Linked DNA regions of Schizosaccharomyces pombe. The gene in region 1 interacts genetically with each later gene. Each region holds a gene or a part of one and is shown in the gene's direction. Other genes may lie near its edges.

Region 1 (7,387 bases):
GTAAAGCCAGCGGCTGGTACGGTGAAGAATGTTATGCAAGCCTTTCTTCAGCCCGCTACTCCTGCCAAAGACACTGCATCAAAGGAACCATCCAAATCATCCCAACAGCCAGTACGCACAAAGCCACGAATTGCTCAGTCACCCTTTCTTGCCCAGGATGCCAAAGAAAATGGTGGCAATGTTGAAGTCTCATCCCCCTTGTCCTTCTCCGCCTCCAAGTCGCCTGCTGCTGTAGACTCCTCCACAAAGACACCCACTGAACAAGTTAATGTTGTATCAAAACAAGCCCCCACCACCTCTTCCACATCGGTGATTTCCCCAGATCCCCTCCAGACCGCTGCACCATCGGCAAATGTGAATGAGGTCATCGCCAGTTTAGAGAGTAAGGTTGTTACTCGACGCACTGGATCAGGTAACAATTATCGAGTGGGGTTACGAAATGTGTCTGGTAGTGAAAGGACAAAGTCGTTAAGCAAGGAATCACCAGTGGAGCCGGAAAAACCTGCACTACCGGATGCTACCTCGAGCTCAACACCAACTACCGAAAACAAAGAATCTTGGACTAACCAAGGCATCAAGTCTAGTCAACAACGTTCGGCAAATGCATCTCCTGCTACTTCCCCTTCTAATCAAGCATCCATCCATGCATCGTTTACGAAAGAATCGAGTACACACTCTTCTCCCTCCTTTACCTTGGAATCCTTGTTTTCTGGTGCTCCACGGGTCGTCGAGTTGACGAGGTTTTCTCAACCCAGCCCTGCTTGCAGCCGTGCTTTGTTGGCACGGTGGAAGGAGGAATACAGAACGTCTATACATTGAGCGAACCCGTCTACGGCCGTGCATGTGTTTGCTTAATGGAACTAGAAGACAAGGATGGGTGGACGGGTCAACCGAATTGCCTTTGCTTATGTTAGATAGAATTCTACCCTAATGTGCGCACGTTGATAGTTAAAGTCGTTTATACTACATTGTAGAAAATGTACATTGACTGCACCAAAACTCGGCTACCGTTCCTAAGTCGATGGTGCTGATTTTTATTTTGTTGTTGTATTGTATGTTCTGCATTCTCCTAATTTATGCTCTGCTTTAATTATTGTTAATTTTTTTTTCCTTAAAAACTTCCTTCCTATATTATTCTATTTCGCACGACATTCATTTTTGAACAACATTCTACCTTTATACGACACTATAGGATCCAATTCTTCTAACGTTGTACTAGTGTTTTATGTTTTTGTGCTTCTCATTTTTATGTTTTGTACATTGTTTTCTAAGTTAGTTATTCTAATGTTGCATTGTACATCTCATTCTTTCCCTATAATTAATTGCCTTGATAATCCTTTTACTTTCTCCTACTTGAGTACTAGCGCAATGCTGTTTACAACTCTACTCGACATTGTTTTTTAACGTTGTACTGTAGCCCACTACATCTGCGGTTTGTTTACAGGACTGTTGTATAACGAGTAGTTATTGTTGCTGTTACATTGCCATAGATTTCAGTAACTTGAGTTTTTCCGCAAGTACCCTTATGAGTGCATTGCTTTTTTTTTGTCCAAGACCTTACCGGCAGTTCCCTGGTAACGAGGCCTGAGGCAAAACCCCTTCTGTCAAAACAGTAGAGTGGAGCAGTAACTGCTTTTAATAGGAGTCTTTGTATCATCCAGATCTGGACTTGTGGTACAGAACATTTGGCAGAAGTTGGTGGTGGTAATAAAACAAGAAGTTTGAAAACAAAAAAAAAAAAAAAAAATGATTTTCGTAAGTCGTTTAAAGAAAAGTGAAAAGTGTTTTTTCTTTATACTGCACTCGTTGGTCAAGTGAATGAACTAACTTTTTCCTGCGCTTAACTATTTACCAATCTCCACTCTTCAAAGTAGCAAGATCCATTCGCGCCATTTTTAGTTGATCCGGTTTGATGGAATAACTGCTTGGCGCTCGTTCATTCGTTCTTTAAGGTTCAAAATGGACATTTTTATTTCAACTCTAATTACGATATCGGCAGTTGGGAGAGGAGGCAAAAGGCCAAATTTTTAGTTTATAAAAAGGAGCATCTCCTTTCATCTATTCTGCAGAAACCAAGGCTTGTATTGTGAGACGTAAAGCGTTCAATTGCAAGGTTTCCCCATTGCTAGTCTCGTTGACAGTCATTCCTTGGCTTTAGAAAAAGAAGTTTGCTTATTTACTTTTTTCACTAATTTTGGAATTCCGTCTTTTTGAGCTACTTGTTTGTTTAGACATTTTAATTCTTTAATTGTTTACAATTTACTGTCTTTTTTCCTTCATAATAGAAACGCATATCGAGGTTTGAATAGGTCGAAATAGAAATATTTTGTTTTGTTAATCGTCCATCATCTCATTTCATTCACATTCCATCGATCGGTGCTATATTCTCTTTATTTATTCAGCTTAATTGCCCGATTTTTTTTTTAAATTATTTCTTACCTTTTTTTTTTTGGTTTGGTAAAAAATGAGCTGTGTTACTAGAGCCCCCATGTCTGTACCCCAGACTGCCCTTCAACCTAATTCCTACGTTAATTTCGACGCTCAACAAACATCTTCTACTCTGCTTCCAGTAGAAGTCATTGACTCGGTCATGCAGTATTTACCTGCACACGACGTTATCCAGTCTAGCTTCGCCAGTTATCCATTGACTTTGATTGCCAACAAGATCATTCGTGCTCGTCTTTCCTTCTTAGACGAATATTCACTTCGCGTTTTTGCAAAGGATGTCTATACCGATTCACCGATTTGCAACTTGTCTGCCCGTCGCGGTTTGTATTCTTTACAATATGATGGTTATTCGGTATTCCACTTGGATCCTAACAATTGCTCCTCTATTTTTCAAATCTCCTTTGAGGACGACGAGGATCTAGCTTCTTTTGAACGATACCCTGGGGAGTTTCTTGCTCCCCATATCAATGTTCGAATTCACGTTACCTTGTCTCGTTCTTCCTGCGATCGTCATCAAGCCGATATATTTTCTTGCTTTCAAGATCCTATTCGTGTCCGCCGGGATTGGCTTGATTCGATAAAACCCGGTCAACCTGAAACACTTTGGTTTGATCAAAACACTCAACATGTCATCGGTCTAATTGTTACAAGAGTTGATGCTGCTCCTGGAAAGTATGATCTTTCTGTTACATCTGTTATTGTTCAAACGGAGTACCTTTTATCTTGCCTCGAGAAAAGAGTACATTAAAAAAGAACTTTTTCCATTCTGCATTGTTTAATATTCTATTATTTAATTCTCATGAGACAATCATGATTGCGTTCCGTTTTCTTTTAATGTTTATTTTCGTTGCTTGACAAGCCTGTGTCGCTCACGACTTCTTTGTTTGACATTTTGTACTTATTATTCTTTTAATTAAAAATTTAATTTACCTGTGATGTATGTTTTGCTGTGTTAATACATCCTGGTTTCTCATTTAATAAATGCGTTTATACATTTTACGCAGTCGACTGGTTTTTTTTTTCAGCGTTGTTTTAATTTCATTCAGCATTTGGCTTCATGTACAAAATTTATTTCTTAACATTTTTTTTCTAATAAACTTTTTTTTGTTGTACTGAAAAGTAAAAACCTACCTTTTTTTAAATTGCTCAATCAATTGAATGTTGTTTTCACGTTTCTCATTTCTACGAATATTTTAGCCTTTGTAAAATCTTTTTAATAGACGCTTAATCTTGTAAATGTGACTAAGTCTATACTACGTTCTTTCGCTCCAGTCAGTCTGCATTGTTTTGAGAGTTAGTGATTTTATGCTGGAATCGACGTGGTTATTTCGCAAATCTTTTAAATATGTAGTGAAAGCAGTATTTGTTTATATTATTGAAGAACTGTAAAATTTAGGTTTGACATTGGTGGTTTTTTGGCTTTACAACTCGTCTGTTAACGGAATTGGGTAGTGTTCAAATAAAATTTAAAATTGGTAGAACTCTGGGATAAGTTTTAGTATTTATGTTTCTATGCAAATAAAGATAAGCTTACTTGTTTCATTTTTTCTTTAAATTCTATATATCTTCATTGTTTTTACATGTCAACCAAGAATACGAATGTTTGGTTCATAAACATACCTCAATACATTGACACCACCACCCGTCACCATGAAATGCGTCGAATGCGGCGCGGAAGTCGATTCTTTATACACATATTATGGAAGGGGTACCAGTAATATTCGACTAGCTCAATGCGTAAGTAATATACACACAATATGTTTCGTTGATGTAGTCAACTTGATCGTAAGGAGCTAAGGGCAAGTCCATTCCAACGGCGACGAAAAGAAGCTTCATGAATATTTTTCTCTTCAAATATAATTTACATTATTGTAAGCAAATGACGATCATTCAATTTTTGTCTCCATTTATCTTGCTTAATGAATACTGAGAGTGGAATGCGTAGTCTTGCTGTAATCGTTAAGATCGACTTGTTCTTTAGTTTTTTTTAAGTACAATTTCAAACTAACGACTATGTTACAGAAAAACTGCAAACAGTTTGCGGACAAATACATTGAATTAGATGTTGTTCTCATCAGCATGGATGTAATTTTGATGAAACCGCAAGTTTACCGTCATCTTTTGTTTAATTCTCTGTCGGCACGAACATTTCGTAACGTAAGTATTTTATTCATTTCAATGGCTTTTTAAATAGCTGACAAAATGCGCAAAGGTTGTCAATTTCTGCATATTAATTTCCCTTTTCAACGTTTTTTTAGTTTGGTCACGACTAGAAAAACGCGCAGCCCTCTTCCCCTACTTCACACCTGCCCAAGCATTTCTCTCCCAGCCAATTATCCGGCAGTACTTGACTTTACTGCTAATATGTTTGGTTGAGACAACTGTGTATCAAATTTCAGTAGTTCTGTTATTATGCCTAACAATGGGTTGGAAATCTTGGACTTCTGCGTCTGGCGCTGTAATACTTTCTTCTAGCACAAGAATGCTACCCGTTTTCATGGTAATTTGGGACTACGACCTTTCTATAGCGGCAACCGTCGTAGAATGGGTAGTTTTGTTTAGCAATGTGGATGCGCTATGTATATTAACTGGAAGCCGGCGGTATTTTAAAATTGGCTTAATCGTTCTTTTTGCCAGTCTCGTGAGATCTATTGTCGTTTATATTTTTTTACATTTAACAGGACTTTCACAGATTCAACCATCAACTCCTTGTGATGGGTTTCAGCATTTTGTAAATCTATTATGTGTATACTTTCGTTCAATCACTTTAACTGCGCAAACTGCAGTATAATGACAAAAGGAAATGGGAAACAATACGGCATCGACATAGTGTATCAGTTATTAAAAGTTTTTATATCACCCGTTTTAAGAAACTGGTCAATTATTAGTTCTTTAATAAGTTGTTGATATTTAAAAAATATGAATTTGATGAACCAATTGAAACCGAAGCCAGTAATCATATTTCCTAATCTTGTAATATGAAACTTGAAATGGTCTAAATAAAAATAATAATTACACCCTCAAAGCATATAGATATGTAATAGATACAATTATATAGAGGAAACACTGCAAGGAAATAAAAAAGGCAAAAAACTGAAAAAAGTAAAACTATTTTGCTGAGCATAACTAAACAAATGATCATTCGAAGATATTTTTCTTACCAGTGGAATTTGTTGCATTTTTTTAATAACAAAGTTCAGAGGTTTGCTTTTGCTGTCGCTAAAGAACCCATCACAATTTTATCAGCTACGATATTTTTTAAATATTTAATCAATATATGTATATAAGTCTTTGTTCATTATACATTTGTTTAGTTATAGAAGCAACCAGGTCAGCTAACACCGTCTTAGCTCGTAATGTAAAATAAACTCATAGTAAGCGAATGAATATTTCAGTAAGTTTTAAATGAAATAAAAATTAGAAAGTAAGTAATTTATAGAACTGTAAGCAAATGCAATCAGACCCGTTGAGATTGAATACAGTAAACTATTTTTTAAACCCAATTCAAAAAAAAAAAATAGCGTTGTTTTGCTACATGTGCTGCATTTTGTGCTTTTAAAAAAATTTAAAAATAATAATAATAATAATTTAGTGTGTAGCTAAGATGTCAGCTTTTTATAATTAGTATGTTAAATCAATTAATAACAGGTTACATTAGCTTTTAGTGAAGAATGGAAAACTTGAAGATTAGGTTGGCAGACTAATCTTCAGTTGGATGTAGCCCTATTAAAAAGCAGCAGAAAAATATTCTTTCCGATTTCGGAGGGTTGTATAATGAATTAGATTTGTAACGGTAAAAAGTTTTTGTGCAAATAAGTTCCGTATAATTAACCATGTTTTTCTAATCTCTAAATTAAAACCTAATTTGAAAATAGGGCAAACATGTAATTTTCTTGTATTTCTCGACTTTTGTTTTTTATTTTAATTAAATTATCAATTACAGAAAGTATTTATTTTTTAATATGACTCTAATATTTTCATACTGTCTATCCTTTCACTCTAATCTACATGATTGTTTTGTAAATTTGGCAGTAATTCGGCTCAAGGGTTATTAGGTTACCGGTTTATTAATCAGTTAATAGCACCTTATATGAAAAGAGACGAGATTAAAGTCATACAGTTCTACCAAATAAATAGGTTTTTTTTTTGAATATTTATTTTACGGAAGTAATATTAAAACTCGAAGTATGCGTATTTAAACATTAATTAACTAAATTTGTTTGGATAAACCGCTTTGACCATCTTGACTAACTGCACTTAAGCGAGTAATACGTTAGCCAACTTCCTATCGCGTAAATAATTTAACGCTGTCTACGACAGGCCAGTAAACACGCGATCCCCATACATGTTTTAGATGTACGGGGGATTTTTTTTTGAAGAAACTGTTAAATTTAATACACAAAAATATTTAAAAGTTTTATTTTGGATATGAGTGAAAAATTTAATGTATTTTTCTGCCGCCAATAAAATTGATTCTGTTTCCATCTATAATAGCCAACCACAACGCTCGCCTTTACCAGTCTTACCAACTGCCAATATTAAAAATCAAAACATATCGAGATGTTCAGCCGTCGAATTCAAGTTTTGAGCCCGTTTTTGAAGCATTTTGTTAACAGAAATGCCCGTATGATGGCTACAGAGGCCAACATATCTGCCACTTCTGCTAATCCTCAGTCACAGGGTGAAAATTTAAAAACTTTCGAGATTTATCGCTGGAACCCAGAGAAACCAGAAGTAAAGCCAAAGCTTCAAAAGTATACAGTCGACTTAACAAAATGCGGACCAATGGTTTTGGATGCGCTTATTAAAATCAAAAATGAGCAAGATCCTACCTTAACGTTCCGTCGCTCATGCAGAGAAGGTATTTGCGGGTCTTGTGCGATGAATATTAATGGCAGTAATACTTTGGCTTGCATCTGTAACATTAAAAAAGATAACA
Region 2 (6,567 bases), on another chromosome or scaffold:
AAACTTCAACCAATGAATGTGTCTATATTGTTTGAAGAATTGATGTATCAAAAACATGTAATAGAAGGCGTCTATGGGGCTAAATAAATTTATTGTTGATTGAATATCATATGAGGATTAGATTGGTCATCACCAAATGTTTAAAAGTTAAAGTGCTCACTGCTTGATATTAAACTAGTCGTTATGCAATGTTGCTTCTATTTTGTAGGTAAAAATTCGAATTAAAGGTCTCGTTCAGGTATTCAAGAGGCGAGAGGTACGCGCATTTGACAATTCAAACATTAGTCTACATAGACGTTGTTTTTAGTAGCAACAAGTTTAAAATTAACAGATTTTTACAACATGACAAATTTGGATTTTACACATACACTTCATTTGAGCAAGCTAAGATTCCAAACATTTTTTAAAATTTCTTTATGAAAGTAGTAAAATGAAGAAATTGTAACTATTTTTTATTAATATAACAAATAATACCGATGCAAACTGGTTTAAATGGTCAATGCCCCAATTTCGTTCATGACTATTGTATGCTTTCACTGAAAAATTGTTTTTTTTTTATTGTTTTGGAATTTGGTAATACTGTGTGGCATTATAGACGGTGCACAGAGCCAGAGCAATACTAGAAAAGGCAGTTATAGGAAGAGCCATCTATCAATTAGAAATAATTGCTTACAACTTACACAAAAAACCTGGCTATGTTTATTAACACCTTTTTCACGTTTTAGCTTAATTACCGATACACATTCATCAGCTGCTACAAACCATAAATTGGGAAATATCTTACATATTTGGTAACCGAAAGAATCAAGTAACTAGAATTTAATTACGTTGATTCAGTTTAAAATTTAGTATAACAAGCACCACTGGTTTCCTCATAATGTTAGTTTTAAGATCTTGGGCATTAGCTTAGCACAATAGAATGGAGGGTTGACGCGGCCGTTACACATGACTTCACTTATTTGTCCACCACATACATACTTCCGGCAGCTCACTCTTCGTTGTAGGAAATATCGTAACTTTTAAATATTTATACAAATAAAAGCATTTTGTTTTGAAAAAAGAAGTTTTCTAATATATCATTTGAAAATAATAAACGAATTTCCCAAGTTTAATTAAGGCACCACTTTCAATTTTTTAACATTTACTCCGAATTAGAGTTGAATATAGTACCTTGTTTCATGTACAGGGTCTGCAAAATTGTGCAGAGAAATTGATTGTTTAAAAGTCCCAAAATTTAATCAAGTGAGAAGTTTAGATGAGTGAATCTGCACCCGCTGGTTCGAAGGAGGGAGTTTCATTCGGTAATCTCCCTCGTCCTGAGCCACGAACTTCTAAAGACCAGCAGAAGTTATCCATTTCTACCGATGTTAAAAAACCATCTCATTCTGCTCCTGTTACGCCGGTTCGGAGTGCCAGGAGCTCAATGGAACAGCCAACGTTTCGTCCTGTTGCAAAAAATTCCGTAACAGTGGCACCTGCTCGGGCGGCTGGATTCTGTCCTCCACAATTTGAGGAATATCATCATGGACGTTCCCATAGTCTTGTTTCACCACCTCCGAGTCCACATTTTCTAAAAAGGATTTCGTTCGATACGTTTAATAATAAAGCGGCTACAGATTTTTCCCTGACTCTGAAAACACAACATCAAGCTTACAAGTGGACAAGAACGTCTCGCACTTTTTTGTGTGGCATGGATGGCAATTCGTATTCTGAAGTTGCAGTCGATTGGTTATTCGAAACACTTTTAGCCGACAACGATGAAGCAGTAGTATTAAGAGTAATTGATCCTTCTTCCAAGCTAGCGGAGGATTTATCGGATGAACAATCTTACAGATCTTTAGCTGAACATATCATGGCAGGCATACTCAAGAAAGTTGATGATGATAAAGCTGTTTCTATAATAGTTGAACTCGTGGTTGGTAAACCTCAAGATATGATCCTTCGTACTATACACGTTTATTCACCTGATAGTCTTATTGTCGGTACTCGTGGCAAAGCCTTAAATAGCTTTCAGTCTCTTCTTTCTAGCGGAAGCGTTTCCAAATTTTGTTTACAAAAAAGCCCCATTCCCGTAATTGTTGTTCGACCTGATCGAAAACGAGTTCGTTCAAAAAACAAGCGCCTTAAGGACAAAACGAGAAAGTCCTATATGGAAATTTTAGAGAAAAGCGGTCGCTAATACGAATAGTTCTCTAACTTGCCAATTTATGATTAATACTTGCTTTATGACATGTAATATTTAATGCGTTTGATAAATTATTCGCAAAACGGTTGAACATTGATTTCTTTATTGTCTATTTTAAAAAAGAGCAAAAAAAATAAAGCTTTAATTTTTTTTGTTCGCTAAGCTAAAGCGTGCGGAATTTTAATGTTTAGAGTATATCTATCGTGTATTTGAGATTTCTTAATGTCAATTAATTTGTTTGTCTCTGGATTTAACTATGATAATTTGGAACATGCGTACGTTATGCTGCGTAATTTAGTTGAAATGAAAATTGTTTGTTTACATCCATTTATCATTTTAAGAATTTACGCTTTATTACCAACTCACATATTTTTCATTTATTCCCTATAGAAAAAAAATTTACCTTTACCAATGCGGGTGCCTAATGAAGTTTGTTTTAATATATTATCATATTTGGAAGCCGATGAGCTAAGGTGCAAATCGACAGTTTGTACTTCATGGAGGAATTTTATTATACCCACTTTATGGGAAAAAGTAGTATTTCAAAACGAAGCTCAATTAAATAACTTTTTTGATACTTTACAATACTCCAAGGATGTTTCGTACTATTTCAGGTATTTGCGCAAGCTGAATTGCTCTCGTGTTAGGAAATTTCTTACCGATAAACATTTAATGTTAATGACATTAGCAACAGGGATTTCTCGTCTGAATTTGTCTGGATGTACTCGCATTTCCGAGCCTCTTATTGGTAAACTGTTGTATCAGAATTTGAACTTGGTTACTATAAACTTCAGTAATATTTTCTCTTTACCGGCGAATATACTTGAATATATTTCTGATAATTGCCCTAATTTAAAAGCTTTGAATATTGGGAATTGTGGGTTAGTAGAAGATACCGGTATGGTTCAGATAATAAAACGTTGTCCGTACTTAAATCGGCTCATTATACCGAATTGTCGAAAGCTGACTGACGTCTCATTACAAATACTTTCTGAAAAAGAAGACCTGATTGAATTAGATATTAGTGGATGTGAAGGCTTTCATAATGCGGATACGCTGTCTAGGTTGGTCTCCAGAAATCGAGGTTTGAAAGAATTATCTATGGATGGTTGCACAGAATTGTCACATTTCATCACTTTTTTAAACTTAAACTGTGAATTAGATGCAATGAGGGCATTAAGTCTTAACAATTTACCAGATTTGAAAGACAGTGACATAGAATTGATAACTTGTAAGTTCTCAAAATTAAACTCTCTATTTCTTTCCAAATGCATTGGATTGACTGATTCGTCACTTTTAAGCTTAACAAAGCTTTCTCAATCTTTAACGACTCTTCATTTGGGACATTGCTATGAGATAACCGATATTGGTGTTCAATGTCTTCTAAAGTCATGTAAAAATATAACTTACATTGACTTCGGTGGTTGCCTTCGTTTGAGTGATATAGCAGTAAGTGCTATTGCTAAGTTGCCATATCTTCAAAGAGTAGGTTTGGTCAAATGCATTTGCCTTACTGACCTTTCTGTAATCTTACTAAGTGGGTCTTTTTCCAGAAACCTTGAACGAGTACATCTTTCTTATTGCATTGGACTAACCGCAAAGGTATGTAAAATATGCTATCTTTTCTAACCAAATTAGTCGGTTAGTTATTTGATGTATAACTGTAAAACGTTAAAGCATCTTAGCGTTACTGGAATTAACTCTATATTATGCACAGAATTGCGATCTTTTTCCCGTCCAATTCCAGATGGAATAAACCCGTCCCAAGTCCCGGTATTGTAAGTCTGTGGTTTTGACCTCTTAATAGTCACTAACTAATATACAGCTGTGCGTTCACTAAGGTCGAGATTGATTTGTTTCGAGAATTTATTCGTAATAGAATATAGAAATCAAACTTTTCACAGTTTCATTTAAGGCTTCAATTGACATGATGGCGTGCTTGTCCTTAACTATTCAATAATAAAACATTTTATAAAAAACGTTATTTACTCCGCAAGGTTTTTTTTTTTTTTTTTTTTTTTTTTTTTTTTTTTTTTTGATTGAACTAATCAGCAGATGGTAGCTATATATTTACAAGTACAAAAAAGTAGATTTATTACATATTATCAAAAAAACCTCTCACTCTTACAAAAGATAAGTTAAACATAGTTTCTTAAAAGAAAACCTATTTTATTGTACACCTTTCATATTGCATTACCATTCACATTAGTTAATAATTAATTTTTTTTATGGGGGTTCCATACTAACTCCTGTTCAAGAAGCATCCTTGGGTAAAGTAGATATGAAACCATCCAAATTAAATTCATCATATTGGGATTCATCCCACATTTCTGGAAGCCCTTCAAGAGCCTTTTTAGAAGTACCACTTAGACCGCGACCTGCCGCATCTTCCGATTCTTCTTTGTCAATATTTTGTACAGTTTGTTGTTCATCAGCAGTAGTGTTAAAAAGGTCTAAAATCTGATCGGTTCCAATTGAAGAAAGACCAGCATTTTGCTGATTAACAACCGTTGATGCCACGTTCATTTTAAACCTCTGAAGGCCCATTATTTTTTCCTCAAGACATCCTCGAGTGATTAAACGATACACATTCACCACCTTTTTTTGTCCAATACGATGAGCTCTGTCCATTGCCTGCAAATCTCGCATGGGATTCCAGTCATGCTCAACAAAAATAACGGTATCAGCACCAGTAAGATTAAGACCAAGACCACCAACATGAGTCGTTAACAGAAGAACATCTATTGAAGGATCATTATTGAATTTGGTAACAGCCTCTTGACGCTTGGTTGGCTCAACTGACCCATCAAGGCGCATGTAAGTAACATCGGGCATAGTAGCTTGCAACAGATCTTTCTCAACCATATCTAACATGTCTTTGAGCTGGCAGAAAATCAACACACGATGTTCACTAACTGCATTCGTTAATGCACTATCAATACCATTCGAGTTTACTGAAGAATTACCCAAGCCACAATCTCGAAGCAATTGACCAAGTGCAGTCAATTTTGGAGCATGCTTTAAGTCATGTAAACCACTATTTTCTTTAGCTAATTGCTTAACAATGGCATTTCGTTTTGGATGCTTCTCTGTCAAAATCAAAGCAGGATGATTGCAAAGTTTACGCATGTATTGCAAAGCCTGGAAAATATGAGCTTTCTGGGATTTCTTCTTTCTTGTACCTTGAGTTTTTTCCGTTTCATCATCTTCGAGCTCTTCATTGATGTTCAACTGAGATACAAAATCATTAAGAAGCTTTCTTTGCAGATCGCTCATATCACAATAATAATCTTGTATTATCTTTGGGGGCAAATCTGCTAAAACATCTTCTTTTAATCGCCTAAGCATAAACGGAAGCACTTGCTTATGGATAGCCTCGAGTGCCAAAGTGCCTCTTTCCCGCTCTTTCGATGAGCTTTTTGCATCACGACTAGCAGCGATAGGACGAACAAATCGTTCTTGAAATGTCTTTTCAGTTCCCAAAAACCCAGGCATTAGAAAATCAAAAAGAGACCAAAGCTCTAGCACATTGTTTTGAATAGGTGTTCCTGACAGAATTAGTCGATGATAGGACCTTAAACTTTTAACCGCTTTTGTGAGCTTAGCTCGTGCATTTTTTATAACATGACCCTCGTCAAGAACACAGTAGTTCCAGTCAATTTTTACTAATTCATCCACATCATTCCGACATATGTCATAAGACGTGACAACAACATCGGACTTCTTCATTTTTGATCTTATTTTTGCTCTTTCCGCTGGAGGTCCTACATATGCAGACACTTTCAAAAATGGTGCATAAGTACTAAGTTCTTGCTGCCAATGGCCGGCTAATGTAGATGGACACACTATCAACGAAGGAACGTGAGCAAACTTGGGACTTCCTGATTCTTCAAATAATTTTTGGCGGTTATAATGATCACTTGCGACTATACAAATAGTTTGCAAAGTCTTACCCAACCCCATATCATCACATAAAATCCCATGAAGTTCATACTTATTTAAGAAAGCCAGCCAATTAACACCTTCCTGTTGATATTTCCTTAAATCAGCAGAGATGGGGACAGGAATTGAGAATGCTTCGACCTTAGAAGGATTCAGCATTTGTTCTAAAAATTTGCGCTCCTTTTCACGACTATCAAGTAGATATTGAGGCAAGTCTGGCGGATCAGGAAGTCCAGCTTCAAGTGGTACTAATTTAACAAGTGTTGCAAAGGAAGTCGTAGCTAGCACACGTACATCCTGGTCAGCATCACTCATTCGACCTAACAAGGGAATAATTAAGTAAAGTATGTAGGGAAGGATACGGACTCCTAGACGTTGAACAACATGATATATGCACTCAATAGCTCCTTGTCTGTGGATTGTGCTACTAGCATCTCCTA

The links. Genes that interact genetically often act in the same process or in processes that back each other up.
Region 2: mutations in arv1 (region 1) and pof2 together harm fitness more than expected from each alone (negative genetic interaction), as found in Schizosaccharomyces pombe (one large-scale study listed by BioGRID).

Annotation. Positions count from the first base shown.
Region 1 is NC_003424.3:1,888,456-1,895,842, forward strand, and holds arv1 (Arv1-like family protein Arv1), read left to right. Parts: upstream 1-4,088; 5' UTR 4,089-4,098; coding exon 4,099-4,185; exon of another isoform or gene 4,186-4,470; coding exon 4,471-4,605; exon of another isoform or gene 4,606-4,660; coding exon 4,661-5,239; 3' UTR 5,240-5,391; downstream 5,392-7,387. Other genes in the region: SPOM_SPAPB1A10.13 (uncharacterized protein), read left to right, coding at 1-819; pof15 (F-box protein), read left to right, coding at 2,465-3,196; sdh2 (succinate dehydrogenase iron-sulfur subunit protein), read left to right, coding at 7,009-7,387. UniProt on the Schizosaccharomyces pombe protein: Mediator of sterol homeostasis involved in sterol uptake, trafficking and distribution into membranes. Also regulates the sphingolipid metabolism.
Region 2 is NC_003423.3:2,615,266-2,621,832, forward strand, and holds pof2 (F-box protein Pof2), read left to right. Parts: upstream 1-2,596; coding exon 2,597-3,787; exon of another isoform or gene 3,788-3,823; coding exon 3,824-3,963; exon of another isoform or gene 3,964-4,010; coding exon 4,011-4,071; 3' UTR 4,072-4,211; downstream 4,212-6,567. Other genes in the region: SPOM_SPBC25B2.10 (Usp (universal stress protein) family protein), read left to right, coding at 1,256-2,179; TATA-binding protein-associated factor Mot1, read right to left, coding at 4,439-6,567. UniProt on the Schizosaccharomyces pombe protein: Involved in substrate recognition in ubiquitin-dependent degradation.